Linked DNA regions of Tribolium castaneum. The main gene of each other region encodes a partner of the protein of the gene in region 6 in a complex. Links are inferred from orthologs where the notes say so. Each region holds a gene or a part of one and is shown on either strand. Other genes may lie near its edges.

Region 1 (4,244 bases), on a different chromosome or scaffold from region 6:
GACACAATTCATAACCACAATCCCAGAAGCCGACAGTATAAACCACATCGTGGTGTTCCTAACAGGGGCTATACCGTTCCCCGAAGGCACCGCCGGTCAAGTCTACTTCAGTTGGCCTGACCCACACGCGCCCCCCAACTGGCAGCCCCTCGGCCACATTTCCAACATAAAACCGTCGGCAATTTTCAAAATCTCATCACTGAAAAAACTCGAAGAGATGGGCGACTCGATGAATATTTTATTCGGGCAAAGTCACATCGTACACAATGCGCAAATAGGGATCGCTATTGAGCCGCTGGCGAATATTCGGGAAATCGAATCGGCGAATAATCCCAGTAATAATGTCACGTTTGCTCAGAAAATGTTGGAGAATTTTATGAATTTTGTGCTGAGTTATACGGTGACGCAACCGCAAATGGTCCCAGATCCCACGGCCACGTACGTTCCGTTGGCTACAGTACAGAACTGGTACACGAATTTTGAACGACGGTTGCAACAAAACCCCAATTTTTGGAAAACGTAGAGGAATGTGTGCATACGTGTGTCTTGTGTTCATCAAAGCTGGATTATGGCGGCTGTTAAGTCTCAAAACTCACTCGCTTTTAATGTATTTAAATGAATAAAGTATCGATTTTTTTATTATCTTATCATTTGCCCACAAAAAATTAATTGTTGCAGTGCAAAATCGTTGACCAGATAGCGCTTGGATAAGTGACAAAAGGGGAATAAAACAAAATTTAAACCTTAATTCTATTTTCTCAAAATCACGGTTCCGGTTCTTCCGTTTGCTTCTGCTTCTTCCAGCTTTTGGCAGCTGCCAATAACTTCAAATTGGGTTTACTGGCCTCATCCTCAGGGAATATATAATCAAAGATCTCCTCCCATCCTTGCTCAACACCATCCTCATCAATAACCTTCCTTCTCTTCTTAATCCTCCTTGGCATTTTCCCTTCAACTTTCTCCTTCGTCTCCTCGCTCCCATTTGCACTTTCAAACTCCTTCCAATTCTCCAATAACAAAACCCTCGCCTCCTTCTCCCCATAACTCTTCAAACTCTCATTAGCCCGCTCATAAACACGCCTTGCCAAACTAATATTCATATCCGACTCACAACTCAACTCAAACTTCGCATACGACAACCAAACTTTCACATGACTTGTCCTCTCCAACAATCTTTCGTACAATTGTCGGGCATTAGCCCACTCTTCTTGCCCGATCTCAAAATCGATATAGGCCTTCCAGAGCAGCTCAGGCATGTCTAGCCTTGGCTGAGCGATTGCCAACTCATAAATGGCCCTAGCACGCTCAAAATCCCCCAAAAGTGTCTCCAACTCGGCAAATTTCATCCAAGTCACACAATTTTCCGGACCAAACTCTAGATATTTCCCGTACAAAATACGACACCGGTCAAACTCACGCAACTGTATCTCTATATCAATATACCCACGGAACAATTTATCACGTGGGCATTTACCAATGGCAGTCCCCAAAATTTTACGAGCACCAATCAGATTCTTCCGCCTGATTTCAAACTGTGCAAACAACAACCAAATTTTACTAAACGTGAATAACTTATGGGGGATCAAGTCAAGGCAAGCTTTATAAACCTGACGTGTTCTTTCATAATCAACCGCTTCGATTTCCTCAAACAGGGCGTAATTAATCCACAAGTAAATATAACGCCTCCAGTATTGTTTATTTTTCGTTGGTGGCACGTTGGCTATGGCCCGCTCATACGTCTCACGTGACGTCTCAAGGTCCCCTTCCCCCTCCACCAGTCTCAAATAGTCAAACCAAGCGTCGTAATTGGTCGGATTTTCGAGTATCTCTTGTTCGTATTGAAACTTACGTTTCGAAACAATCACATCTTCAATACCGGAACGATCGCCGTACTTTTTCTCATGTATGGTGTAGGCTTTGTACAGCTCTTTCGCTTGTTCTTTGGGGAGATGGTCCAAGGCATACTTGTAGATAACGCGAGCACGGTCATGTTCTTTTTGGTTTTCTTCAAACCGTGCAAATGCAATATACAATTTTTCGTCCAAATGGTCATCACCGTAAAAATGTACAGCTCGTTCGTAAATCAAGCGGGCCGAGTTGATAAAACCGTGATTTTCTTCAAATCGGGCGTATTTAATCCAGTGTTTGACTTCGGGATGTGTTATAACAAAGCGTTCGTAGATTTCTCGCGCACGGTCGATTTCTTTGTATCTTAACTCAAAATTGATGTACGTTTGCCAGGCTTGTTCCTCCGGCTGCCACTCCATCCAGCGTTCAAAGACAGCTCTGGCCCCAGCCACATTCTCCAACATCTCCTCCATGTAGGTGTATTTGTACCAAAACTGGTTGATTCTGGGCAAAATCGTGACGGCTCTGTCCCATAAATTTCTAGCATGGTTCACTTGACGGTTTCGCATCTCCATTTCAGTGTATTTTAACCAAATGGTAACGTTACGATGGTCCACATCCAAGGCACGTTCAAATATCGAACGAGCTCGTTGGATTTCCTTTTGCGATTCTTCCCAATGGGCATATTTAATCCAATTGGAGATAACAGTTCGATTTTTTCGTATGTTGTCTTCGAATTGTTTACGGCGTCTGAGTTGGTAGTCGGCAAGTTCAGCTGGATCGGAGATTTTTTGCTTAGGGGGCGGAGGGAGAATCTCAAGGTCGCGCTCTTTTGCCTCGCGAAGGAGCTGCTCGGCTGTGATTTGGATCTCAGCAGGGGCTTTATTTTTCACCTGGAAAATTATTTTAGTTAGTTATTAAGTTGAAAGAGAAGGTAAATAACGTACCTTGGCCACTTTGGGCATCTTTTGCGGCTTGGTTTCCATCTCAGGGGCGACTTTTACCAACTTGTAGCACAACAAACAAACACGAACATAACCTTACGATTTTTTGTGGTTATGTTTGGACCACACAAATTGTGAAATATCGTGCCTTAAATTTTGATCGAGTGTTTGTTTGTTGTAATATAGATTAAACAATAATTTACGTAAGTAATTAAACTCCGCAAGCCAGTTTTTGTATTATTGGATTTGTAGATTTGCACTGGTGACGCCACATGTCGCGCACAATTACAGTTTTCTGTTTTTTTTTTAAATAAAATTCGAGAAAAATTACAAAATTTTATTGCATTTAATTTTGCCACAACTTTAAGACTTTGTCTTTACCCCCCGAGGCCACTTTGGAGCCATCTGAGGCCCAATCAAGCGCATAGACCTCATCCCCATGACCTGGCAGATCAATTTCCAATTTCTTCTCCCTCAAATTCCACAATTTGAGTGTTGAATCGGCACTTCCACTCACTAAAAGTCTAGAATCGGCCGAAAACGAAATCACATAAACAGCCTGTACGTGCCCCCTTAACGTACAAATAAATTTACCACTTTTGGCCTCCCATAATTTAATACTCTTATCAAACGAAGCCGAGGCAAAAATGCGACCATCTGGTGAAAATTTCACATCGTTAACTAATTGTTGGTGCCCCGTGAGCCGATTTAACGGCTTCTTGTCTTTTGAGGGGGCCCACAAAAACAAAGTGAAATCATCGGAGCCCGAGACGAGTCTTTCATCACCGATAGGGTTAACGATTTCGTTGTAACGACGCAGGACGAAGTCTTGTGATTGGATTTGGGTGTCTTTGACTGGGTCAAACGCCCCCAATTTGAGGATATAATCAGTGTTGAGGGCCAAAGTGTTGACCCAATGACCGTGCCCTTCTAACGTACGACACAACACACCGTCTTTAGCCCTCCAAACTTTAACAGTCCGGTCCTGCGAAGCCGTATAAAGGAGCCCCAGACCGCCCCACTTGACCACAGTCACACTTTTCAAATGCCCAGAAATAACCCTAGTACAAGAACACAGGACCGTATCCCAAATCCTGACGTCACAATCTTTACTCGCCGAGGCTAGAAAGCGACACTCGGCGTTTTGGTGGTAGGGTTCCCAACTCAGGGCCGTGACCCATGATTTATGCCCAATTAGAGTTTTACCAATCTGGGCCCCATTTTCGGGGTTCCATACCACCACCTTGCCGTCTTTACACGCCGAAGCTAGTTTACGCCCATTGGGGGCCCACGCAATGCACAACACCCAGTTCGTGTGCCCTTTACATGTCTTAAAAGGTGTCTGGGTGTCCACGTCCCAGAACCGAACGGTTGTATCGCCAGAACCACTCGCTAGGTGTCTACCATCGGGGGAAAAACTCACGGAAATGACAGCTTCGGCATGGCCTGGCA
Region 2 (4,210 bases), on a different chromosome or scaffold from region 6:
TTTTCTTTTTCCTCAATTCTATAGCTTCGGGTGTTTCCATGCCAGTTGGCACGCTTGTGAGACCACTAGGTGTCACCAAGCCCTCAGCTGGAGTAACAAGACCGGATTCGTCAGCGGCGTTTTGTTGGTTGTCTTGGTCTTCCTCCTCTTCCTCATCCTCCTCCTCTGATTCGGACTCGAGCTCGCCCCAGAGGGTGCGATCCACGGAAGGGTCCTCACCAATGTCCTAAACATTGATATTTGAACAAAATTCAATAAAACAATATTATAAAATACTTACATCTATGTTGGTAACATTTGTTCCAAACACATCACCGTACAATGGTTTTCCATTTTCGTCCACCGGTGGTTTTCCCCACCCACCGGCATGGTACCCAAAGGCACAACCATCAGGGATGGGGGCATTTAATCCCGGAATTTTCAAGTTGGGGTAGCTGGGTGGGGGACCATAACGTTGCATTGCAATCAACCATGGTGGGGGTACTTTATTAGCGTTAGGGCCCACAGGCATTCCTAAGGCCGTTCTTAATTCTTCTGATAAATCTCCAGGCTTTTTTTCCTTCAATCTGGTTTCAAACTCTTTGCCCTCGTAATAAAGGTCCCCATGGATGGTCATTTTGGGTTTAGTTTGCCACCTAACAATAACAATGAGATTATAAAAAAAATTCTAAATAAACAGCTGTCTATCTTTTTCAATTATTCCCAATCTCTACGAATACACAATTACAAACAATAGCAATTTTAGCTTTTATCAAAAATAAAAAAAACGTACTTGAAAAATGCGTCGTGTAATTTTTGATAATCAATATCGATTTTTCCAAGTTTGGGTCTGGTCTTTTCCCGCATTTTAGCTTTGAGTGTTTTGGATTCATCCTTATCTTGCAATGACGCACGCATTTCCATGATTCCAGTCCTTTTAATGAAATCTGGAAGATTAAAAGGTGGTTTCTCTATACCACGTTTACCTTGCAAGTACTTTCGTTTGAAACACCAATGACGTGGTACCTGAAAAACACATTATTCAGCCAATTGCTAACTCCGCATATATTTTCATCTGCTTTATTATTATGAAAAATCTGTTAAGTTTGTTCCAAAACATCACTTTTTAATAAAAAATTCAAATCCTTGCTTCTTATGCGTTCAGTAAAATGTTTAGTTTGGAACAAAGTTCGTCTAAAGAAAATAATAATTAATAATGCTACAGAATTCTATATGTGCGCAAAATTAAGAGTTTTCAAATTGGAAGTAGTGACGAAAATTATTTTTCCAAAGCTTACGACTTAATTCTATTCTTAATAATAATTTAATAAAAGGTATTCTCTTTTTTTATTAATTGTTAGTAGTTCCTGAATTTTGTTAACATTTTCGTGTTATAATAAAATTGTTACAAAGCATAATTTTTTGTGTCCCATCCGTAACTAATTATTTATAACAACTTTTAGAAGTGGCAAAATGAATTTAAATTGTTAATCCATCTTTTTTTTTTAATAAGCCATTTTTAAAATAATAGTTATGTGCCGTCCGTAATCATGGAATGGCTGCATTACTTTTAATTTTTGAGAAAATTATAATCGTTACCTGAACGGTATTTCTGTGAGCTTTCAATTGGACCAACAATTTTGGGTCCCTGGCTGTTACATCGTGCATTTCTACAACGTCTGGTCTACTGACTAGTTGTTTAAGCTCGGCGACGCTAAGTCGCGTCAATTTTTTAAGCTTTCTTTTGGACATTTTTGACTTATCGTCAAGCTTTTTCTGAAAAAAAAATAGATACATATTTTTTATTCATAATGTAATACAACACTTACGTCGTCCCCATCTTCCATTTCTTCCTGAAAGTGATCTCCTATGCTATTTAACATTGATTTACTTGACAATGATGTTGGCGTTGCCAGAACTGGGGGTGGGATATCATGCTTTTGATCAGTTATTTTAAACACGTCAAAAATGCTATAAAACTGCCGGTATTGTGGAGCCAGTTCAAGAAGACTAATCGTCTCTTGGACGTACCTTTAATTAAACTCATAACAATTTTGTCAAACAAATAGAAAAAACACCTACTCAACTTCCACATCTGTATTCCCATCCTCTTGCCCATCCTTTTTCTCCTCCTCTTCAGCCGCTTTATTCTGTTCATTCTCCCTGTTTTTCTTGTTCTTCTTCCTTTTCTTCTTCTTTTTATTCTTACTGATTTTGGTGGTCTCTTTCACCTGACTCTCTTCTTCATTTTCAACCACGGGTTCCTAAAAAAACAATCGTTATAACTATATTCATACAAAAAATTAAAAAAGCTACAATATTGTCATCTTTCTCCCAAAGCGCCTCTCTAGGAGTCTGCGGCTGTTGAACTACTGTTTCCGTTTCTTCTCGTTCTAGTTCACGCGCTCTCTGATTTTTTAACGCCAACACCTCTTCCAACACTTGAGGTAAAACAACTTCAGTTGGTGGCGTCTCCATCATCTGATCAGGAGGATCCACTTTTAGGGATAGCAATGAGGGGAGTTGTTTTTCACCACCAACACCTGAAATAGTCCAATGCGATATAAACAAACTGGTTGAAAACAATCAATTACCATGTTCACCAGCCCACCCTTGCATACCTGACCCAAACATCCCTTCCTGGTGGGGCACAGGGTGCTCCGGGACACCCTCTTGTAGCTGATCCGGATTCATTTGTCAGTAGAATCAGTGCTTGTTGCAGCCGTAAGCTGAAAGGAGACGGGATTATGGAATTGTTCTAACACTAAAAAGCACTTTTCTCAATTTGATATAACCTCTTTCTCATACTAATTTCTTAAAAAATGTTTGAATCAAAGCAAGAAGCGAACTTACTATAACAGATAGTCTGTTAAATTTTATCTACAATGAGGAAAAACCGCAAACTTTTAATATTATTAATAATTTATTGCGGCATTCAGCAACGTTTCGGTCGACATTTTTGTTTGGAATTAGAGCGAATGCGACCGTAATCGCGACAGCTCGATTTCCTGCAAAAGCGAAAACATTTCCCAAAATTTTCATACAGAATAAATCAAATGTAGTAGTTATTTATCCAGTTAGTTACAACTTTCTCTATTAACATCTTGTAAATACAATAATTTATAAATATTTAATCAATTTATTTTTCAAACAAGATGCCAATCTAATTTGGACCAATCACGCATCTCAATCTCAAATGTCAGATTCAAAAAAACGGTTTTGTTGTCGGTTTGTCATTTGTGTGCCTTGTTTACTGTAAAGTTACTATAAAAAGCGAATAATTGGATTTAACACAACGTTAAAGGTAAAAACCGAGTTTTTTTGATACGAAAATTACATAAAAATTGTTTTATAGCTTGCATTAAAATGTCAGTGAGGTCCAGCAGACGTTTAAATAAAAAACTAAATCCACCTGAAATGGAAAGCACCAGTGGCCCCTTAAGCAGTGCCAAAGCAACAAGAAGTGGACGAAAAGTCAGAAAAACGAACGATTTGCTTTTCTTCAGTTTTAATGCTTCTGCAGTGGAAAAAGAAGACGAAAATATTAAGCCAACGTCGTCAAAGCATAATAAACAGAATTTGCCTCGTTTGGAGTTCGATGAGAGCGGGAAAAGTGACAAAGGAAGCCCTTTTTTGTTCAAGGAAGTTCAAAAAATCTCGCCGCCACCTGTACCAAAAAATAAAAGAAAAATCGTCAAAGCTAAGAGAGTTCTTAGGAGTACCAAGCAATGTGAACTGGAAGACAAGTGCAATGATGAGACATTAGATCTCACTACAAAAAGTTTGAAGGAGAAATCTTCCGAAAATTCTGTAAATCTTGTGAGTGATGGTGAGGGAAGTTCACGTTTCATCACAGTCACGGAGAAAATGGCTCAAGATGGACACGTGAAAAAAGAAAATAAACATGGCAAGACACCAAAGGTCAAAAGACAGAGTGGGAAAGGAGAGTTTTCTTCGTTTAGAGACATTGAAGATTTTAAATCTCTTGAAGAACCGTCAGAAAATTGCAAGAGCGTAAATTTGAGCCCTTTAAATGAAGATGAGGGAAGTTCAAGCTACATTGAAGTCAACGAGAAGAGTACACAAGATGGACGTATTACAGAGAAAAATAGTCCTAGCAATGGTACTTTCCCCAATTTTGTTGCTTCAAGCAAGACACCAAAGACCAAAAAACAGAATTTGTCTTCTTTGGAAGCGGACGAAAGTGGGAAAGGAAAGTTTTCTTCGTTTA
Region 3 (4,509 bases), on a different chromosome or scaffold from region 6:
AAAACTCAACAAAAACAACAATAGTTGTGAACAATATTATTTCTCTAAGTGATAAAATTTCATTTATCCTTGACGATGGAATAAATAAAATTTTAAATAAAAATATAGTTTGGATTCTTTTAATTTCATTATGAAAATGAACAGAGTTAGAGTGATTAGAAGTAAAGAAATGATTGTACAACTTAAAAAAACAGAATAAAATCATAAAATTTTCTGTTGAATTGAATGCGGAAGACGTTTTTGAATTTGGTATTGCCTTTATTATAAAAAAATAAAATTTTTCGAAAAACTATAATTGATAATTTTCTTTATTTACATCCTCATATGTTCCTTCTGAATAAAGTTAGAAACCTTTTTGGAGAAGATCCCTAAATGAATATAAGTTCAGACGTATATAGGGTGAGTCTTAACTTACACGCATAAATTTAGGGAATGATAGCCTTTCTAGTAATAGTTATTTACAATTTACCTGTAGTAGGTAAAATTTTACAGCGTGAAGTTTTAATATTGAAGCTCGAAACGAAGTTGAGGGCTTTAATACAAAAATTGAACCCTGTAAAATACCTAACGCACAAATAACTTGCAAAACTGGTTGGCCAAATATCGCTAAAAATAGATAAATAATTACCACTCAGCATTTAGATTATTTTACCACGCAATGTCAACATTTTACTTAGCAAATGACTAAATAGTAGTCATTTATACGGACTAGAAAATTAAAAAATTCTAGAATGAAACCATAAAATTTTCTGTCCAATTATTCTACAGAGTAAACTTAATATAACACATAAAATTTATATCTTAGTTATGGCTTATTTTTTTCAATACACAAATCAATTTTATTTTTAGAAACGCTAGTCTTTGACATCCAGTTATTGAGAAAAGACATGTTAAAATAACATTTTAAATAGCCACCAACTTTTTTGTTTACTATTTTAGTACTACACTCCTTCATATTTCTGATAAATATAGGGTGCTCAAAAACTGGCGCACCAACTCAGTGGTACATTATTGAGAAGCAAGTGCAGATTACGGGAAAAATGTTTAAAAAATTCCTAAAGTCATATTTTGAAAAATCTGGAGCTACAAACTTATTGTGTTAACTTCTTTAGTTTTCATTATTTTTTTTATGTATTTATGTTTCATACCAAGTAATCGTTCCGTAACAAAACGATGAATAATTATTTTCAAATTTACTATCAGATTTTAGCAGTTTTTTTAATTTAAAAAAATTAAAATTCATCCAAAAAATCGCAATGTGTAAATGTGCCAACACTGGCAATTATTTCCTAGGAAACCGTTTCAAAAATAATTTATTTTTATTCTTGCTCAACTTCTGTTGCGATCATGACTGTTAGACAACGTTGCCACATATCATTTATCCAAAATCCGTTATTTATCAATAACTTTAATACAAAGAATTTTTTACTATTTTTACCTTTATATGTAACCAGTTCTCTACCACACACCAATGAGTTGGTGCGCCAGTTTTTGAGCACGCTGTATAATAAAATTCAAACAAATGGAGCAAAAAATCAAAAAACAAAAAGAATAAAAAAATGAAAGAGGTAAAAAAGTTATGAATAATTTTACACAAGGGCTTTATTTTTCTGTTTTGGCTTTATTTTATAAGAACGATTGTTTGTTTTTCCTTATTTTTTTGTTTTTAGGTTGTTTTCATATTAGTTAAAAAACAAAAATAAAAAACATGCACCCCTGATAAAACAAAGCAATAACAATTCGTGTATACATATAGTCGATTTTTTTTATAATCAACTGTCAAAGAGCCGTCAGGTTAGTATTACCATAAATAGTAATTTTTACTAAGATGGTACTAATTTTTACCTGGCAAATTTAATTTAATGGTCTTTAAGTTACAACACGCACAACACATTTTTTTAAAAGGCTAACAAATTCTAAAGACTAACGAATTCAAATTTCATTGGCTGCAAAAATTGTCCCGAATGTCAAATCTGGTGTGTAAAATGTCAAATACAGAATACAGCTAGTTTCGAAAGTGATTAGACATGAGATTTTGGTGTGATACAGTCTGGTCTTTATCAAAATTTTGACACTGACAGTTAATTATAAAAAAGAATGAACTGTAGTTATCAAATTATTTTTAACAGCTAATGTACCTGTACAAAATTTAAAAATATTCTTGTTACAAATAGTTTTATTTTTGAATAAATAAACTAGTTCAGAATATTTTAAAAATGAACATTTGCTTCCATTTATTTAACTTGGTAATTTTTAACTACTATTGGAACCTGCACACAGGCGGCCAATTGGCATGGCTCAGCCCTGCTAACATCAACTGATGAATTATGTTGCACAAACAATTGGAAAAACAGCTTTAAGCTTATTATTTACATTTTTATCAATAACAATTGAAAATTTTTTACTCTTAACTTTCGAATTATGTTAACCCCCTGAATCAAATTCCCAACGCACGGGCGTTAATTTTAAGACACCCTCTATGTACTTCAAATTACTATATTAGATATTCAAGTAAATCCTCCAAAATTTTGATATGAAGACCTATTTGGCTGAACCTCATTGCAAAAAAAACAACTTACAAATTCTACGGTCGAAACCTGATGAAGCTACATATTGACCCTCAGGGTGGAATTCCACTGTGAAAATCTCACCCTCGTGGCCCTCCAGTAACATAATGGGGGCAAATAGATTGGAAGTTCTCGCAGGGGCCTGAAATACATGATTTGAGGAGGGTTTTTGAGGTTAAGTGTTACTAACCGCTTGTAAGACCGATTTGTTTTTGTTCGATGTGGCCACTTCATTTTTCGATTTTTTGCTTACGGGGACTAGAGATGATGAATCTTCGGCTCGACGTTTCTCAACAACCATTTTTGGTGTTTTAAACAAAAATTGGGAGGAAAACAATAACCTCACTTTTTAGCGTCAACAAAACGAAGCGATAAGCGCCCTCTGGTGGAGAGCACGAAGTACGATTTGATTGTATACCCTGTTTCAATTATATAAAACAAATAGTTATCTCCTTTGGAATAAATGTTTGACAACAATGAAATGGTTTCCCAATGTCGATATCTAAAAATTATTTGGTTTTTTACTTGCCAAAATTTCGAAAACGATTAATATTAGCTCACTTAACTCACTTTGCGTAATTCTTATTACTTTTTTGCTCTAAAATTGTCAGTATTTTCCCGGTACTAACAGATTTTTGTTAGTAATTTGCAACACTGAAACACAATTAAGTTTCTCTTGGCAAATATTTGAGGTACAACCCCATAAGACTGTTGCATTATTGCGCCATCATTTTTAGTGTGTCGTACTAATTTTTTGGGATTAGAAACTCCTGTAATTTTATATCTTGTTTCATCTCCTAAGTTTAGGAGGAACCCCCGGAGTTTAGGCTCATTTTCAAACTACAAACATCTTTTTTGCGTAATTTTACTAAAATAGATTGATAAGAATGATATCTTCCAAATTATAGTCGTTATTATAGTCTGCTTTGTTTGATTCAGTAAAGTTTCGACTTAAAAACTACATATTTTCTTAAATTCTGTCAGAAGAAACTTAAAAATCAGCAAACTTGATCAAAATTAGATACTAGATACTAATGTTTTTTGTGTAATTTTGGCAAAACAATCCAAAAGGTTGTTAAATCGTGTTAAAAATAATGTTATTTGTCTATTTTCAGATGTTTATTTAATATTTTAGCACTTTTTTTCGTGAAAAAACACCGTGAAAATCCTTAAATTAACTAAAAATTGACTTGACTTTGGTTTATTTTGCTCAATTTTTGAACTCATTTAAACTCTAAAATAAATCAGTTTGTAAAAAAACTCTTAAAATGACACTAAAAATCATTAATCGAAAATCCCAAATTTGTTGGAAAATTATGTTATCTGTGCCTTTTTTAAACGTAGAATTTTGTTAACAGACCGACATTGATTAATGATTTCTTCCTCTTAGACGATATTACAGAAAAAACTTAAAACACTGATTGCATGCCAAAAAAATTGCCTAAACATTTGCAAATATTTACGTACGTTTCTTCCAGAATATGTATATCCTGTTTTTATAACTCATTTTAATTAATTTTTACTTAAAATATTTACTTCCGTGCCTACGGAGAGTGTGATGCAACTAATCTAATAAAAATATTTAAAATAAGTGCTCAAACATTAAACTTTGCGACACGCAAAGTGGATAAATATTTGCGGCATTCCATCAAAGTTTGCGTAATTTCCATATTCTGTAAAATGCATGTGTTAGATGGAAAGAAATAGCAAAATAAACATTTATTAAAGTGGATTAGCAGATTATTTCAACAATAATAAATAGACTAAAACCTACGTCATAAAAAATTAATATCTTGCAATAATATCATCAACAACAAATCGTGTTACACATTTCACATTTTTTTAGACTAGTTTTAACTAAAATTAACTCCGTCAAACAATTCTCTGTCTTTGGTTGAATAAAAACACACAGTTTTTCCTAATAGTGCCGTCGGAACGGATC
Region 4 (3,523 bases), about 6.5 Mb from region 6:
AGAGGTTTATTGCAAAAGGCAATTTGAATTCGCACAAGTGGAGACACACGGGAAGAAAGCCGTTTTTGTGTAACCACTGTGGGAAAGCGTTTGGGGAAAAGTCCACGCTCAAAGTGCACGAGAGGATACACACGGGGGAGCAGCCGTACAAGTGCGAGCTCTGCGAAAAGGCCTATGTGCAGAGCAGCGCCCTGAGGACGCACATGAAAGGCCATGAAAAACAGTGAAGGTTTGGAGATTTTATAAATTTATTTATGAATAAATACTAGTCACAAGGGCTATATATTTTTATGCCCTTTTTTAATTGGTAAAACCAAAAAATAATTAGACGAGAAAAGCTATTTTATTATCGCCTTTCAGTATTTTCATCTCATTATGATTAGTTTATTATTTTCATTGTCTTTTTTTATAAAAACAAATTATTTCGATTTCGTAATTTTATTTACAAAAGTAAAGTATTTACACTTATATTTGTATATTGTATTATCACTAATACATTTTTATTTTTCTATAGTGTCTTTTGCATTTACAAGCAATTTATTTACTGTTCTATTGTTTGCATGAGAAGAAATAAGAATTTTTTCCAACAATACCAAACTGCTTTACTTCTTCAATTTTTTACATTATTATAATAAAAAGCTTTCGGTTCTAAAAAATCTTTATTCAGTTCTGGTGCTACGCCCGACAGTCTTTGGCATTTTTTTGTTGGTAGAATCCTCCAGTTCCTTCTGCTTGTAATAATGAGGTGCAACCTCCAAAAGCCACTTACTCTCGATTTCTATAACTTGTCTCATAAACTCTTTGGTGGTAAAAACCAGCTCGTGATAAAGAACCCATCTTGGCAAGTCCTCAAAAAGGGCACTATTGGGATGTATTGTGACACTCTGAAACAATTTCTCTCAGTACAAAGAAAACTATAATTTTTTTGGTGTTAAAACCTGATTATGTTTAACGGTTTTGTAAGTCCCTCCTTTGGATAACCGAGCAATGTGGTAGAAATAACCGGCGGTTATAGCCTTTTTAATGTCTGCAGCCTCGGTTATATTTGACACCATGTCGATTTCAACCCTTTGCATTAAACCGACCAACTGTTCCCTCACATCGCGAGCCCTTTTCATAGATCTACAACAAAATAAAGCACAATTATTTACGTATCTTCAACAACTAGATAACTTGAAATTTATATTTTTCTAATTTATATTTCTAATTTTTTTAAAGTACTGAAGATGAACCGGTTAGTTTGAAACATTTTCATTCTTTTTTCTTTATTTTATTTTTCTTTTATGGCAGATTTCAGAAAAAATAAGAGAAATCACCTGTATTGTATAAAATTCTCGTAGCACCATTGGGTGGAATAATCGGAATCCCTCCACTGGTTGTACACATTTAACAAGCTCAGATGGTCACCCCCTATGTGATTAAAATTTTTGCGTGCCGTGTCAGCATGAATAATTTTATCCTTGGGCCTGTAAAAAATCGCCCCATTGACCGAAAGCATGGCCGCAATAGTCACAATCTCCTCTGAACATTTGTATCTGCAAAAAGCAAACAGTAACAAACCCACACAAAAAGCCAAACTTACTTTTCCGAAGCTAACAACATTTTGGCCATCATCGGATCAACCGGAAACTCCGCCATCCTGCGCCCCAACTTCGTCAACTCCCCGTGATGGTTCAACGCCCCTAAAGCATACAACTGTTCCAGTGCCAGAACAAGTGTCTCATGTGGTGGCGGATCAAGAAAATCGAAATGCACCAAATCGTTAATCCCCAACGCTTTCAGCATCAGTACAGCGTTGCCTAAATTAATCCTTTGTATTTCCGGCACGGTATTGTCCTCCAGTTCATGCTTGTAGGACCAGGCGGTGTACAAACGAAAACACTTCCCGGCCGCCACTCTGCCAGCCCTCCCAGCCCTCTGATTAGCCGAGGCTTTCGAAATTGGCACCACAATCAGGCTCTCCATCCCAGTCCGCGAATTGAAGTGGTTTTGTTTGGCAAAACCGGGATCAATAACATAGATTATATTGTCTATCGTTAAAGAAGTCTCCGCTATATTTGTCGCAAGCACAACTTTCCGGGCCCCTGGAGGCGTCGGTTCAAAAATTTTCGCTTGCATGTCGCTTGGCAGGTTCGCATAAACGGGCAGAATAATCAGTTCCTTGACTTTGGAGCCCAACCGGCGAACCCGATCCTGCAACAACTCCTGACACGTCTCAATCTCATCCTGACCGGTCAAAAAAACAAGAATATCCCCTAACGGTTGAGTCGCGTGAATTTGTAGAACGGAAACAACGCACGCGTCCACATAATCGGCCTCTGGCGCCTTAGTGTAGTAAATATCCACCGGAAACCTCCGGCCTGGAATGCGGAAAATGGGCGCATCGTCGAAAAACTCGGAGAATTTTTGCGCGTCGAGCGTTGCGCTCGAAATCAGCAGTTTCAAGTCGGGGCGAAACCGGGCGATGTCTTTGACCAGACCGAACAAAATGTCCGTGTGTAGCGTCCGCTCGTGGGCCTCGTCGATGATCATGACGCTGTAGGACTGCAGGTCGGGCTCGGATAAAAATTCGCGGTGGAGCGTGCCGTCGGTCATGTATTTGATGATTGTACGTTCGGATGTGCAATCTTCGAATCTGATCGCATAACCGACTTCGTTGCCGAGTTTGACTTCCATTTCTTGGGCTACGCGGGCCGCTACCGACATGGCGGCGACACGGCGTGGCTGCGTACAGCCGATTTTTTTATTGTCGTTGGTGAAGCCGGCTTCGTGCAAGTACTGCGGGATTTGGGTTGTTTTTCCAGAGCCGGTTTCACCCTCGATTATTAGGACCTGGTGCTCGCGGACGGCCTGGATCAAGTCGTCGCGAAACGGGTAGACTGGGAGGTTTTTCTTCGTTTCTTGGATGTCGAGCTTCTTTTTTTCCTTTTCGGTTAGTTCGGGCTCTTTCTTCTCTCGTGTGCCTGTTTATTGATTATTTTGGTACAATTTTGCCAATTTAATACCTCACAGACTAGTTCTTATCTCATCGTTTTAAAATCCTAATACCCCTAAAAAATGTACCGGGTGCTCAAAAACCGGCGCACCAATTCAATGATGTGCGGTAGAGAAATGCTTAAATATAAAGGTAAAAATAGTAAAAAATTCTTTGTATTACAGTTATTGATAAATACCGAATTTTAAATAAATGATATGTGGCAACGTTGTCTAATAGTCGTGATCGCAATAGAATTTGTTCAACAATAAAAATTAATTATTTTTGAAACGGTTTCCTAGGAAATAATGCCCAATGTTGACACATCTACAAATTGTGATTTTTTGATTTATTTAATTTTTTTTAAATTCAGAAAACTGCTAAAGTCTGATAGTAAATTTAAAAATAATTAATCATTATTTTATTAAGAAACGATTACTTAGTGAGAAACATAAAAACATTAAAAAATAATGAAAACTGAAGACATTAACAAAATACGTTTGTAGTTCTAGACTTTCTAAAATATGAGATTAGGAATTTTTTAACGAA
Region 5 (2,442 bases), on a different chromosome or scaffold from region 6:
TTAGGAAGTCACTGAAACAAGAAAACATCAGATTAAAATCCCCCTAAAGGATTCACGTTTACACATGTTGATCTACTCAAATCAAGATTTTTAGTCCTGATTTGAAGAACGCACAGTTGTCACTGTTAATTTTACAATTAATATGGGTTACTCGTGGACGATAAATATTTTACAGCGTAACAACTACAAAAACTAACAAATTTCGTTAGTCACTTGGTGCTAGAATCTATTCGATTTTCAGGTGAAGAAGAATGTAAATCAGGCACCAATAAAAGTAATGGTTTATTGTGTATACCTAACTCGAATTTACCACCATACAAAGCAGATTTATTCACCTAAATGTCTATAAAAATTTCGACTCGACTAATGACTTTTTTTTTTCGTGTTGTGGAGACCGTGACCTCGACTTAGATCTTGAGTTATTTTGTTTACTATTCGATTCCCCTGAATCCCCCCAATCCGACAGATCATATTTCGATAAGTCTCCGTCGTCGTCATCCTCCTCCTCGTCCTCCTCCTGCTCCTCCTCTTCTTCCTCCTCAACCTTCTTCTCCACCTTATCTACACTATTTTTCATCTCCTTCACCTCCTCACTTTTCTTCTTTTTCCTCCTCCCGAACTCGTCATATTCGTCGTCAGACTCGTGCTCCTTATACTCGACCACCCCCCTGTCGTTATACCCCCCACCGAACCCCGTCCTCTCCTCCACCTCCCCAAACTTGGGGGCGTTACAAACGTTACACTGCTGCCTCCGCGCCCAATTCACGTTACCGCATTTGTTACACTGCCAATCGTCGGCACTAAACAACCCGCGACTTTTCTCTGCCGCCGCTTTACCGATCTCGTGCCCCAATTTGCGCTTTTTCGCCGACACCGGCCCCCGACTTTTGTAACAACGGTTACAGTTGTTACGGCGGGCGAAATTTACGTTACCGCAGTCCGGACACGTCCAGTCTCCCTCGTTCGACGCCGACGGGCTTTTCAGCGACGGCGGCGGGGGCGGTGTCACTTCGGCCTCTTCCATGGGGGCGATACTAGACTAGAAAAGGCGTAAAGAGTAGTGGCTAGAAGGAGCACTACTAGAGGGAACGGAGGAGCAAATGTTAACATCTGGCGGTACTGGTACTGCTTTTACCTTTACTGAACCTTTTTCCAGCGGTTATTCCAACAAATTTGTTGATAAAAAAGTAACGTCAAACCGAAGATGCACCGAAATGTCACTAGCACAGAGGGATTTTCGACGCCAAACGTTGCCCACACCAATCAGGACACGATCACCAAAACAACAATTGCCTTATTTCAACGCAACACTTACCGATTTCTGATTACAGTTATCACCAAAACCAATGACTTGTTTTGTTTAATTTTTTGCATTAACTATACGTTAAAAATGTGAAAAAATTGGGACAACTGATCATGCCCTGTACTTAGCAACTGTCAAATCTGTCAGTTTGTGTCAAGCGTTTGAAGAGCGTTTTAAATTTTAAAAACTCAAAAAAGTACACAAAATGTCGAAAGCACATCCTCCGGAATTGAAAAAGTGAGTCTTGTTTTGTCGTAGAACGTATTACTAGTTTTTTTGCAGATTTATGGACAAAAAATTGTGTTTGAAGTTGAATGGGGGCCGACAAGTCGTTGGTATTTTGCGCGGTTTCGACCCTTTTATGAATCTAGTGGTGGACGAGAGTGTGGAAGAGTGCCGGGATGGCAAGAAAAACAATATAGGGATGGTGGTACGTTTCTTTTGAATTAGTGTGGATTTGAAATTTGAGGTTATGTTTATTACAGGTGATCCGGGGAAACAGTATCGTCATGTTGGAGGCTCTAGATAGGATTTAGTTTGTAATTTTGGCTTAATCGATAATTATTTGTAATAAAAGCGTTCGATTCTGACCGAGTTTTCTTTTATTGGGCTTGGGGTAGGGTGGAAATAAGTGAATTAGGGTAATAGGAGGGAAAGCATTATCGTCGTCGCTTTTGTGCGTTCATTCACAAAGAAATTCAATTCGTATTGTTTTCCTCGAGCGGTTTGTCCGTAACAGTGTATGAAAAGCTTAGAGAATGTCGCATGCGCGCCGCCACTGTTCCACCGTCGGGAAAATATTGGAAACGTTCGCTAGTTTGGCATTAAAGCGTCTCGGCGGCGACGTTCCAGTGAAAATTTTCGTGTAGTGACGAGTTTTCCAGAGCCACATCACAATCAGCGTCAGGTATTGCCCCCATTGACAGTTTTTCCGGGAAAACATCCGGATCGAAATTAACACCCACTCGATTTTAATGTCATTTCCTTGGAAAATGAGTTTTTTGAGGAACAGTCTTAAAGCAACCACCCTTGACTAGGTCAAAGGAACACGCTGAAATGTATTGCCCTATAAGATTTCGCTTTAATTAGTTAATTGTGCCCGAAACAATGGACATTATAACTACAATCCCCAAATTAAA
Region 6 (4,545 bases):
CCCGACGAAACTGCTTGCCAACCTCGCCAACAAAAACCACCAAGCCTTGTTCACCCAAATTTTCAGTTAAAACTAACCCAAAATTAAAATTTTCACCCAAATTTGTCTCATTTTAGCAAAAGCACAAACACGCAATTTAATTAACACCCACATTTCGTCAAAAAAAATGCCAAAAGTGTGGGTTTGACTAAGCGCCAAATTCAAATCTGGTAACTTTAAGGAATCAAACACAAGTCACAAATAAAAATATTTATTCAATACAATTTATGTACAAAGTAACTTATCTCCTACTCTTATGCTTCCTCTCGGGGCTCCTACGCCGCCTCCGATCGTCTCGATCGCGTGACCGTCTCTCATTATGTCTGTGTTTCCTCGCATCTGTTTTTCGTTTTTTATCATCGTCTGATGCTTCTTTTGTCGGTTTTTTCCTCTTCTTTTCTTCCTTCTTCTTACGTGGTTTCTCATCTTCGGAACTTGACGAATCCGAATCACTACTATCGGAACTGGATGAGCTTGAACTGCTAGTGCTACTGCTGCTAGAATCACTTGATTTTTCAGTAATCGTCAAGGGATTGACTTTAGGGGCTGTTTTCAAATGTTCCCTCAACTCGGCCGTAAGCCCCCCTAAGCCAATCGACGTGAAAAAATTAATCGCAAATCTTGTATTTTTGGGATCATCGCGCGGAAACAGCCCCTCAAAATGTGGCTGAAGCGTTCTGAAAAAAATCCAAAAAATTAACAAAACCTCGTTAATTATCAAACACAGTCACTTACGCATCTTTAAGCCTGGCATTTAACTTCTCCAAGCCCATATATTCGGCCAATTCCTGGAACAAAATCTTGATGAAAATCCGATTGGAACTATTGGTATCCTCTTCGTTCAGTTTCATAATTTCTAAAACCTCCCATCCAATCGCATCGGTGAACAACAAATGTGCGAAAAACTTGCTAACATTTCGCAATTTATTTGTGTCAAGTCTGTGTGTTGTGGCGTACGTGTCTTTGAAGATTTGTTGGAATGGCTCGACATAAATCTGATTCACTTGACAAAATCTCTGTGCCAATAATCCGTAAAACTTCTCGTAAGTCCGTTGTTCGGCACAACAGTCGAGGAACATGTGGCATAATTCGATTTCTTGGCCCGGTTTCAGTTCCATTTTCATTAGTTTGTGGGCACTTTCCTCAAAATCTAAACTTGATTGGATGGTTAAGTAGATTGTTCTGCGTAGGGCCACGAGGTTGGTCTCCGTATTGTCGATTATGTTGGATTCGTTCTTTTGGGCGCCTTCTTCTTCCTCTTCGTCCTCGTCTTCGTCGTCTTCCTCGTCACCGGACTCTTCCTCCGAGCCGGAGCCCGACTCGCTGTCCATGTCCAGGATTTCCTTGCTCAAAGTCTTGTACTTCCCCTCGTTTTCCTCGTAGTTGTCGTCGAATTTAAACACATCTAGACAGGATAATCACAGAGTGAACGAGGCAAATTAAGGAATTAATTAATTAAAATTTCAAAATAATTTTTTCTGAGAAATAAAAAAATAATAATAAAAAATCTCAAAACCTGGATACCCCGATTTTTTTGTATAAAAAATTAAGTACAGTTCCACCTAATTAAAAAGTTTCCTTACTTAAAATATCCTCAGCATTTGATTGCTTAACATCATCCAGCGTAATCAAATGTGTAAACTGGTGCTCCTCATCCACCAAATCCAACTCTTCAATAACAGCGGCATGATCCTTAAACCCGTCCTTCCTGATTTGGAACATAACTTCAATCATGTACTGAATCCTCGGTTCCAACTTCCCCTCATGTAAAATATTCCTCAACATTTCAAAGATGGCATTAATGCCTTTACTCGAAACCTCAGTCAATTTCTGTCCACATTCCTTCAGAAACGAAATCGCAACTTCAACCGAATCATCAGTTGGCGTCTCCACCAAAAGAGTCAAAATCTCCAAGGCGAGAATTTCATGCGCAACCCTCTGATTAACCAAATGAGCCACAAAAGTCGTGGCCGAAATGCAGATAATTTTATTATTCTGCTTGAAACCGCGCTTGAATTGCAAAACCAAACGTTTCAGTAACAATTCTCCAATATTAGGGAATTTCGAATTGATGACAGCGACCAGGGCTGCGTACACGTTTGTGAAAGTTGGGGACGCAGCTTGCGCTTGTATTATGGACTTGCAGAGCAGTCCGCGCCCCCTTACCACATTCTCATGGAGCAATTCCCGCGAAATAATCCCAATGTTGGACGTATTCACCTTGTTAATAAACCCATGAATGGATTTTTTTAACGCCTCCCACGCAATTCTTTGATACGCCGCCGAGCTCTTATCAGTAATCTCCGCTTGCATCATCCGCAGCTTCGCTGGAGGGATGTAAGCCCCACCTGTCCGTGTCAGTAAATCCACGGTTTTGCGCTCACGGGGGGCTATCACCGACTTATCCGTCTCCTTCTCAGACTCTTTGTCTTTATCGTCGGGCTCGCCCCCGTAATACCTACTACCCACCTGATGGTCATCCTTGCGGGGGTATTTGGTCCAATATCTATCGCTGTTTTTCTTGTGTTCTTGATCCTCGCCGTAATACCGAGGGTATTCTTCAAGGGGGCGGTCCAAGTCGTGGTATTTGCGACTTTTGCGACGGTCTCGTGAACGCGAACGGCGGGAACGCTTCCGGGAGTCTTTATGGGGCGAGTCGTCACGACGTTTTTTACGGGATTCAGGGGATTTGGAGCGGCTTTTACGCTTGGGTTTGGGCTGTGGGGAGGTTTCGGTGTCGGTGGTCATTTTTTAAGCACTCACAAAAACACAGTAAGAAATTGGGGCGATTATTGACAACACACAACAACGCAAGAGGTTGAGGTTATGTGGCACTGGTGATAATGACAAATTCCCTACTATTTTTGAATTTTAAAGTCGCCAGATTTTTTTGTGCATTTAGAATAAATTATAATTAATTATATGTACGTGTTTACGCAATTATAACATAACTAGAGGGCCAGGAATTGGTGGTTTTATTAATTCCAGACATATTTGAAAATTTACAGACTTACTAAATTAGTGACAAATCTAAAATTTCAAAAAAATTTGAATGTGATTTTGGGGGTCACGTTTGCCTAAAAAATATATCACGACCTGGGAATTTTGGGATTTTAATGATCTTTAAATGTTAAATAAAAGAAAACTAGATGATGTAACGTTTAGCTATTGATAGAAAACAAAAAGTACCTACATGGAAGTAATTTTGGCAAAATTTGTTACTTTGGAACCTTAAATATTGATTTAAAAGTTCAAAACAATAAAATTTTAAGTAGAGCATGTCTGAAAAGTTTGCTATTTTTTTCTTGTATTGTGTATTGTTTGTTTGTAGATTAACATATAATACGTGTTATATTTTATGATAACATTTCAGGCAATTGAGAAGACAAGATATGATATTGTAAAATTGTGAAATAGTCAGAACCTTATGGTTCTCAGGTCGCGATATTTTCAGAATATTTACTTCGACAGCGACTTTTAATGTGTTCCCATAAAATGAATAACTTGACACAGACTTTCGCTTTTTCTTGAAGAGAAATGGCTGTTGGTGCAAAAACAAGCAAAAACCGATAATAGTGGCTAATAACAGCTCTAGCGTACAATTAAATTTTTATGGCACAATAACAAGTTCGATCAAAGATTTCTCAACAATACTTCCGCGGTGAAAAGAGCGTTTTTACGGCATACTGAAAGTGTTACAAGGTATTTTATTCAGTTTGTGGATTTTAAAAAATCGGCGCGGAGAACGATAAGGTCACGCATTTTAATTTTGCGGAATTTCGCGGAGGCCTCCCATGAATATGTGAAATGTTTGCGTGTACCATATTTTATTAAACAGTTTGAACAATAAACAGTGCGAATGCAGCGTTTTCGAGGCATCAAGGTCACTGCCAAGTGAACTTAAACCCAGCTCCAGCTGTTTCAAAGATCGACCAACGAAACCAATCCGTACAAAAGAGCCCGAGGCTGCTTTATGGAGAGTACCCATGCTATAGCAATTCAGTTGGTTCTCAACCTTTCGGTGCCGATACCGTGCGCGTTCTCCTCTCCCATTTTTCCAAAATTTTGCCCAATTTTTGGTACTTTTTCTAAGTAAAAAAGCGTGCCGGGTTGGTGTAGGTGCTAAAGGTGCTGGGCCCAAGGTTGCGACTTTTGTTAATCATCTTGCTTGGAATAATTACAAGTGGAACTTGCAGTCATGGTAAATAATTATTTCGCACAAATCGCTCTTTTTTTAGAAATTAATTGACCACTCGCTTGAGTAGTTAGGGGAAAGAATTTTAATTATAGTTTTGGGTGCAGTTCCGATAAAAAGGTCACAAAAGGGTTATCGTAAAATGCGCAACAAGACCGAAAATAAGGCCTCCAAAAGTCGTCTCGTTGCTCTAATCGCAATAATGAGTAAACCTTTTAGTGGTCAACTTATCGACCCAAATAAGTCATTAAAAAACCACTTATCGTTACTCATTTTAACATGTTTCTGCAATAATTACTAATTAGTTTTCG
Region 7 (4,420 bases), on a different chromosome or scaffold from region 6:
AGACAACGATTAACCTCGATCCGCTTCATTAATCGACGTAACTGTATTTCACATTGATTGATATGTTAAATCAGCAACTTTTTGAGTTCAAGGATGCAATTTATTTGGCAAAAATTTCTCCAACTTTCATCAAAATCTTTCACAGGAAATTAGCATAATTTACATTCATCGCGTGCCTTTAAAAATATTCAAAACATGCCGGTGACTACGCCGGTCTAATATTTGTCTGCTCGCTGCGGGTCTACGAACTATTTGGCACGTTTTTAATCCAACAAGAATTTTAAAAATAAATGCGATTCATTGTTTTACTTGTTGCGATTACGATTAAGAGAAATTGACCCACCTGGGTTGCAGTCGGTGAGTAGGGAGCAGATAGATAAGAGGACCTTGGAGATGGTGAGGGCGGGCGACCAGTTGTCTTTCAAAATATCCAAACAGATGACGCCCTGACTGTTGATATTGCAGTGGTAGATCCTCGTCCTGAACGTGACTTTAGGTGGCTTGAAGGGGTACTCTGGCGAGAAGTGGATGTCCAGGAAGAAGACGCCGCCCTCGTAGACGGACCCCGGGGGGCCCAGGATCGTGGACACCCACTCGTAGAAGTTCTCCCCTTTGGGGCCCGCACTGCAGTTCGGCGGCGGGTCTAACGTGATTTCTGCTAGTTCTTTTTGGATTCTTTTCGCTGATGTGCCCAAGGCCTTTGACATTTTCTGGTTAGGCTTTGATTCTTTTGTTTCCTTTTGATCACCGACTGCTGCTTGACCGCCTCGACCACGGCCTGATCCGCTAGACCCAGCTGAAGACATCGAGCTAAACAAAACAAAAAATCACCTCTTTGTTCCTCCCGGCGCTCGCCGGGGGCTGACGGGCGACCGTGCGAGAGAGTCACCTCAAGCAACAATGGGGTTCAATGTCTGATTGCGATCGCCGGGACAGGTAACCGATTATTGCGACCCTTCTCAAAACCAAAATTGATTCCTGTCAGCTAAGTCGGCCATTTTGATTTCAAGCATTACACAAGCCGTAAATTTCCATTAAATTGGGAAAAACGGGACGGAATTCAATAATTATCGATTAAAACACAACGCCGAACCCGAAATTACTGTAATTTCGATACGATATCGCTTTTATTGGGCGATATTTACGGCACAAGTTGACGATTTTTTTCAGCGCCTACTCGGCTAATACGCGCATAAACGGCCCTAATCGAGTTTCAGGAACGTGAAACTGGCATTGAACGGGAAATTTCAGCAGCAATTACACTTACTTGTATTAATTTTTGCACTAAAAACTGAAAACAATTCACTCCCTTTTTGCTAATATCGGCTCATGGCGTACTCGCTGAGCACTCAGGCCTGCCACCATACTACCGGAAATATGCAAAAACTGCACAGCCCAAAAACCTGAATTTCGATTATTTGCAACAAAACCGCCCTGTGCCACACCCCCAGGGCGTCGGTCGCCAACACCTCGCCGAAAATTACCAAAAAATTGCGGATTATTTTTTAAAAAATTCAAAATCCTTTGCACCCATCTAGGGGCATGAAGAGTGCGCGTGTTGTCTACCTGTTGTTGTGACAGCGAGCTAACCTCAAAGTCGTGTGATTTATATTTTTTAATTTTACCTCTTTACAAGTTACAGCAAAATGGGGAAGCGCCAGCACCAGAAAGACAAAATGTAGACCTGTCCAAAATCAGTTTCAAGTGCGTAATTAACGCAATTTTGTTTAAGGTACTTGACGTACACAGAGTGGACCACTCTTTACGGGGGCAAAAAATCGGGTTATACGACCGCGGAGGAGGACTATTTTAAGCGGCTCCCGTTTGACCACTGCTGCCTGTCGTTGCAACCGTGGGAAATACCCTACTGTGACTTGGACGGCAATATTTTTGATTTGGAGCCTTTGCTCCCCTTTTTGAAGAAGTTCAAGATAAACCCAGTCACGGGAAAGCCTCTGGATTTCAAGTCGTTGGTGCAGTTGAATTTCCACAAAAATGAAGAAGGCGAGTTTGAGTGCCCCGTCCTTTACAAACAATTCACCAAAAGCTCCCACATTGTGGCGATTGCCACCACTGGAAACGTGTACTTGATGGAAGCAGTGGAACAGCTTAATATTAAGAACAAAAACTGGAAGGACTTAATCAGTGATACGCCCTTCGAACGCAAGGATATCATCATGTTACAGGACCCACTAGACTTAAATAAGTTCAACATTTCCAACTTCCACCACGTCAAAAACAATTTACGAATCGAAACCGAGGAGGAAATCAAGGAGAAGAACGACCCTCAAGGCCACTTGAAAAACGTGAACCCTGAAACAAAATACACCCTTGAGGAGCTAAAACGGGACTACAAAGAGCCAACAATTGAAATAAACAAAGTCGAAGTTAAGGAAAAGGCGGACAAGTTCAACGCTGCCCATTATTCAACGGGGGCTGTGGCTGCGAGTTTCACCTCAACAGCGATGGTCCCCCGATTGGTGCACGAAGCCGCAGTGAAGCACGAAGATGAGGTGCGATACGACAGAGTCAAGAAAAAAGGCTATGTGAGGTTAATCACGAACTTGGGGCCCCTCAACTTGGAGATTTACTGCGACGAAGTGCCACGTGCTTCGGAGAATTTTATCAGGCATTGTGCGAGTGGCTATTACAACGGGACGAAATTTCACAGATCTATTCGGAATTTTATGGTAGGGACCCATCATGGGGGCTAAAACTAACGAAATGTAGGTTCAAGGGGGCGACCCGACGGGGACAGGGACTGGGGGCGAATCCATTTGGGGGAAGAAATTCGTTGATGAATTCAGGCCCAATTTGCAACATGTGGGGCGAGGGGTCTTGTCTATGGCCAACAGTGGGAAAAACACAAATGGGTCACAGTTGTATGTTTTACGCAGCCTTTGACTTTGAAGTTAAGTTGGCAACAATGGCAACAGTCAAATGTTAACTTTAATAGTCAATTGTCGTTTGAAATGTCAAAGTGACAAAAAAACTCATTTATGTCATAACTAGGGAGGACTATAAGTTAGGAGATGAAATCGCAGGATTTTCTGAACCTAAAAAATAGTACGGTGGACTAAAAATGAGGGCGCTTTGAGCGTTATACTGTCTCGGCGCCAAATCGTTTTAAATTAATTTAAATTCAACCAATGTTGAGCTTTGCACCCTTAAGTCTGAGAAAAACTGACGACTAAAATGTTTGTGATTTTTTTTTAAATCTGCGCTTTGTCTCGTATTTTTCAAGACGCTGCAAATACGGTTGAAGATACAAAAAAAGTGTAAGGAACAAAATTGTAGAGAATTAAATTTTTTACAAAAAAGTCCACGACACCATATTTCTATTTTAAACGGTTTGGTTATAAACTAACTTTTCAATACTTGACCACTGGCAAAATGAAGCAAATTCGTCGCTTGAGCGTCTTTGGGCGATTTTGGGGCCTAAATGGTTGAAGATAGGGATATAGTCCCGCGGACTTTTTTGTAGGAAATTTAATTGTCTACAATTATCTTTCTAACATTTTTCTTGCATCTGTAACCGTATTTGCAGAGTTGTCAAAAATATGAGTCAGAGTGCAAGTTGGTAAAAGTTTTTATTTTAATATAGTTTAAGATAAAATTTTTGCATTACGTTTATGTCCTACTATTGCGAATTTAATGCTCTATCTGCCTGTATTTTTTTGTTTGTCATGTGTTAACCGTTATGCAAACACAACCATTTTTTCAAATTCATTGCACTGAAAATTTAGACGGTAATGGAACATCTGCGCTCTCTGGCGACATTAACGGAACTATCGAATACAGGAACGTTTTATTTGTATGTCGTTTCATATCCTAACTTGTTTATATCCGTAGCCATAACTTTATTTTTTACAAAAAAAATGAGTAAATTTTCCCCATACTTTTTCCAAACTTTTAATGATTTAATGAATACACAAACTGAAGTATTTTTCATGATATAACGGGAAATGCCAACGTCCAGTTTTGCCAACTTAATTTCAAACTCAGCCACTGAGCAATAATCAAAAATTTAATTGTTTTTTTTTTTAGTTTCATAACATACAGGTCGTGCAAGCACTTGAATAATAAGCACACGATTTTTGGTCGTTTAGTTGGTGGCATGGAGACTTTAAACGAAATGGAAAAAATTGAAGTGGACAATAAGGATAAGCCCATTGAGGATATTGTGCTTATAAGGGCGCAAGTTTTTGTGAATCCATTTGAAGAGGCGGACGAACAAGTGATTGTCTTATTCTGTTGTAATGTGTTATTTTTGGTCAATTTTTAGTTGGCGAAAGAACGCGAAGAGGAATTGAAAAGACAGAAGGAGGAAGAAGAGGCGAAGAGACGTAAAGCGGAAGCTCAAAAAACCCTAAAAGTGTATAAAAGTGGTGTTGGGAAATATATCAATCCTGATAACGTG

The links.
Region 1: ncm (region 6) and crn share a complex: the UniProt entries of both Homo sapiens proteins name them as parts of the minor spliceosome. The link is inferred for Tribolium castaneum from reciprocal best matches to the Homo sapiens genes CWC22 and CRNKL1.
Region 2: ncm (region 6) and Sf3b2 share a complex: the UniProt entries of both Homo sapiens proteins name them as parts of the minor spliceosome. The link is inferred for Tribolium castaneum from reciprocal best matches to the Homo sapiens genes CWC22 and SF3B2.
Region 3: ncm (region 6) and U5 small nuclear ribonucleoprotein 40 kDa protein share a complex: the UniProt entries of both Homo sapiens proteins name them as parts of the minor spliceosome. The link is inferred for Tribolium castaneum from reciprocal best matches to the Homo sapiens genes CWC22 and SNRNP40.
Region 4: ncm (region 6) and l(2)37Cb share a complex: the UniProt entries of both Homo sapiens proteins name them as parts of the minor spliceosome. The link is inferred for Tribolium castaneum from reciprocal best matches to the Homo sapiens genes CWC22 and DHX16.
Region 5: ncm (region 6) and SNRPG share a complex: the UniProt entries of both Homo sapiens proteins name them as parts of the minor spliceosome. The link is inferred for Tribolium castaneum from reciprocal best matches to the Homo sapiens genes CWC22 and SNRPG.
Region 7: ncm (region 6) and RING-type E3 ubiquitin-protein ligase PPIL2 share a complex: the UniProt entries of both Homo sapiens proteins name them as parts of the minor spliceosome. The link is inferred for Tribolium castaneum from reciprocal best matches to the Homo sapiens genes CWC22 and PPIL2.

Annotation. Positions count from the first base shown.
Region 1 is NC_087400.1:96,156-100,399, forward strand, and holds crn (protein crooked neck), read right to left. Parts: upstream 2,933-4,244; 5' UTR 2,835-2,932; coding exon 2,796-2,834; intron 2,742-2,795; coding exon 765-2,741; 3' UTR 737-764; downstream 1-736. Other genes in the region: protein OPI10 homolog, read left to right, coding at 1-523; Nle (notchless), read right to left, coding at 3,139-4,244. UniProt on the Homo sapiens protein: Involved in pre-mRNA splicing process. As a component of the minor spliceosome, involved in the splicing of U12-type introns in pre-mRNAs.
Region 2 is NC_087396.1:14,198,135-14,202,344, forward strand, and holds the start of Sf3b2 (splicing factor 3B subunit 2), read right to left. Parts: upstream 2,980-4,210; 5' UTR 2,833-2,979; intron 2,709-2,832; 5' UTR 2,674-2,708; coding exon 2,574-2,673; intron 2,523-2,573; coding exon 2,296-2,522; intron 2,244-2,295; coding exon 2,062-2,243; intron 2,011-2,061; coding exon 1,809-2,010; intron 1,756-1,808; coding exon 1,579-1,755; intron 1,006-1,578; coding exon 773-1,005; intron 636-772; coding exon 281-635; intron 227-280; coding exon 1-226. Other genes in the region: uncharacterized protein LOC103313715, read left to right, coding at 3,346-4,210. UniProt on the Homo sapiens protein: Component of the 17S U2 SnRNP complex of the spliceosome, a large ribonucleoprotein complex that removes introns from transcribed pre-mRNAs.
Region 3 is NC_087399.1:11,299,308-11,303,816, forward strand, and holds the start of U5 small nuclear ribonucleoprotein 40 kDa protein, read right to left. Parts: upstream 2,967-4,509; 5' UTR 2,869-2,966; coding exon 2,758-2,868; intron 2,710-2,757; coding exon 2,580-2,709; intron 1-2,579. Other genes in the region: uncharacterized protein LOC656468, read right to left, coding at 4,486-4,509. UniProt on the Homo sapiens protein: Required for pre-mRNA splicing as component of the activated spliceosome. Component of the U5 small nuclear ribonucleoprotein (snRNP) complex and the U4/U6-U5 tri-snRNP complex, building blocks of the spliceosome.
Region 4 is NC_087398.1:7,194,404-7,197,926, reverse strand, and holds the end of l(2)37Cb (pre-mRNA-splicing factor ATP-dependent RNA helicase DHX16), read right to left. Parts: intron 2,964-3,523; coding exon 1,583-2,963; intron 1,536-1,582; coding exon 1,317-1,535; intron 1,123-1,316; coding exon 939-1,122; intron 885-938; coding exon 660-884; 3' UTR 641-659; downstream 1-640. Other genes in the region: zinc finger protein OZF, read left to right, coding at 1-227. UniProt on the Homo sapiens protein: Required for pre-mRNA splicing as a component of the spliceosome. Contributes to pre-mRNA splicing after spliceosome formation and prior to the first transesterification reaction.
Region 5 is NC_087395.1:18,416,413-18,418,854, forward strand, and holds SNRPG (probable small nuclear ribonucleoprotein G), read left to right. Parts: upstream 1-1,380; 5' UTR 1,381-1,508; coding exon 1,509-1,540; intron 1,541-1,585; coding exon 1,586-1,733; intron 1,734-1,788; coding exon 1,789-1,839; 3' UTR 1,840-1,893; downstream 1,894-2,442. Other genes in the region: zinc finger Ran-binding domain-containing protein 2, read right to left, coding at 344-1,024. UniProt on the Homo sapiens protein: Plays a role in pre-mRNA splicing as a core component of the spliceosomal U1, U2, U4 and U5 small nuclear ribonucleoproteins (snRNPs), the building blocks of the spliceosome.
Region 6 is NC_087398.1:673,821-678,365, forward strand, and holds ncm (pre-mRNA-splicing factor CWC22 homolog), read right to left. Parts: upstream 2,917-4,545; 5' UTR 2,788-2,916; coding exon 1,623-2,787; intron 1,445-1,622; coding exon 775-1,444; intron 717-774; coding exon 281-716; 3' UTR 235-280; downstream 1-234. UniProt on the Homo sapiens protein: Required for pre-mRNA splicing as component of the spliceosome. As a component of the minor spliceosome, involved in the splicing of U12-type introns in pre-mRNAs. Promotes exon-junction complex (EJC) assembly.
Region 7 is NC_087395.1:15,994,649-15,999,068, forward strand, and holds the start of RING-type E3 ubiquitin-protein ligase PPIL2, read left to right. Parts: upstream 1-1,531; 5' UTR 1,532-1,646; coding exon 1,647-1,678; intron 1,679-1,732; coding exon 1,733-2,690; intron 2,691-2,730; coding exon 2,731-2,882; intron 2,883-4,047; coding exon 4,048-4,237; intron 4,238-4,285; coding exon 4,286-4,420. Other genes in the region: Ubc2 (ubiquitin-conjugating enzyme E2-24 kDa), read right to left, coding at 344-806. UniProt on the Homo sapiens protein: Has a ubiquitin-protein ligase activity acting as an E3 ubiquitin protein ligase or as an ubiquitin-ubiquitin ligase promoting elongation of ubiquitin chains on substrates.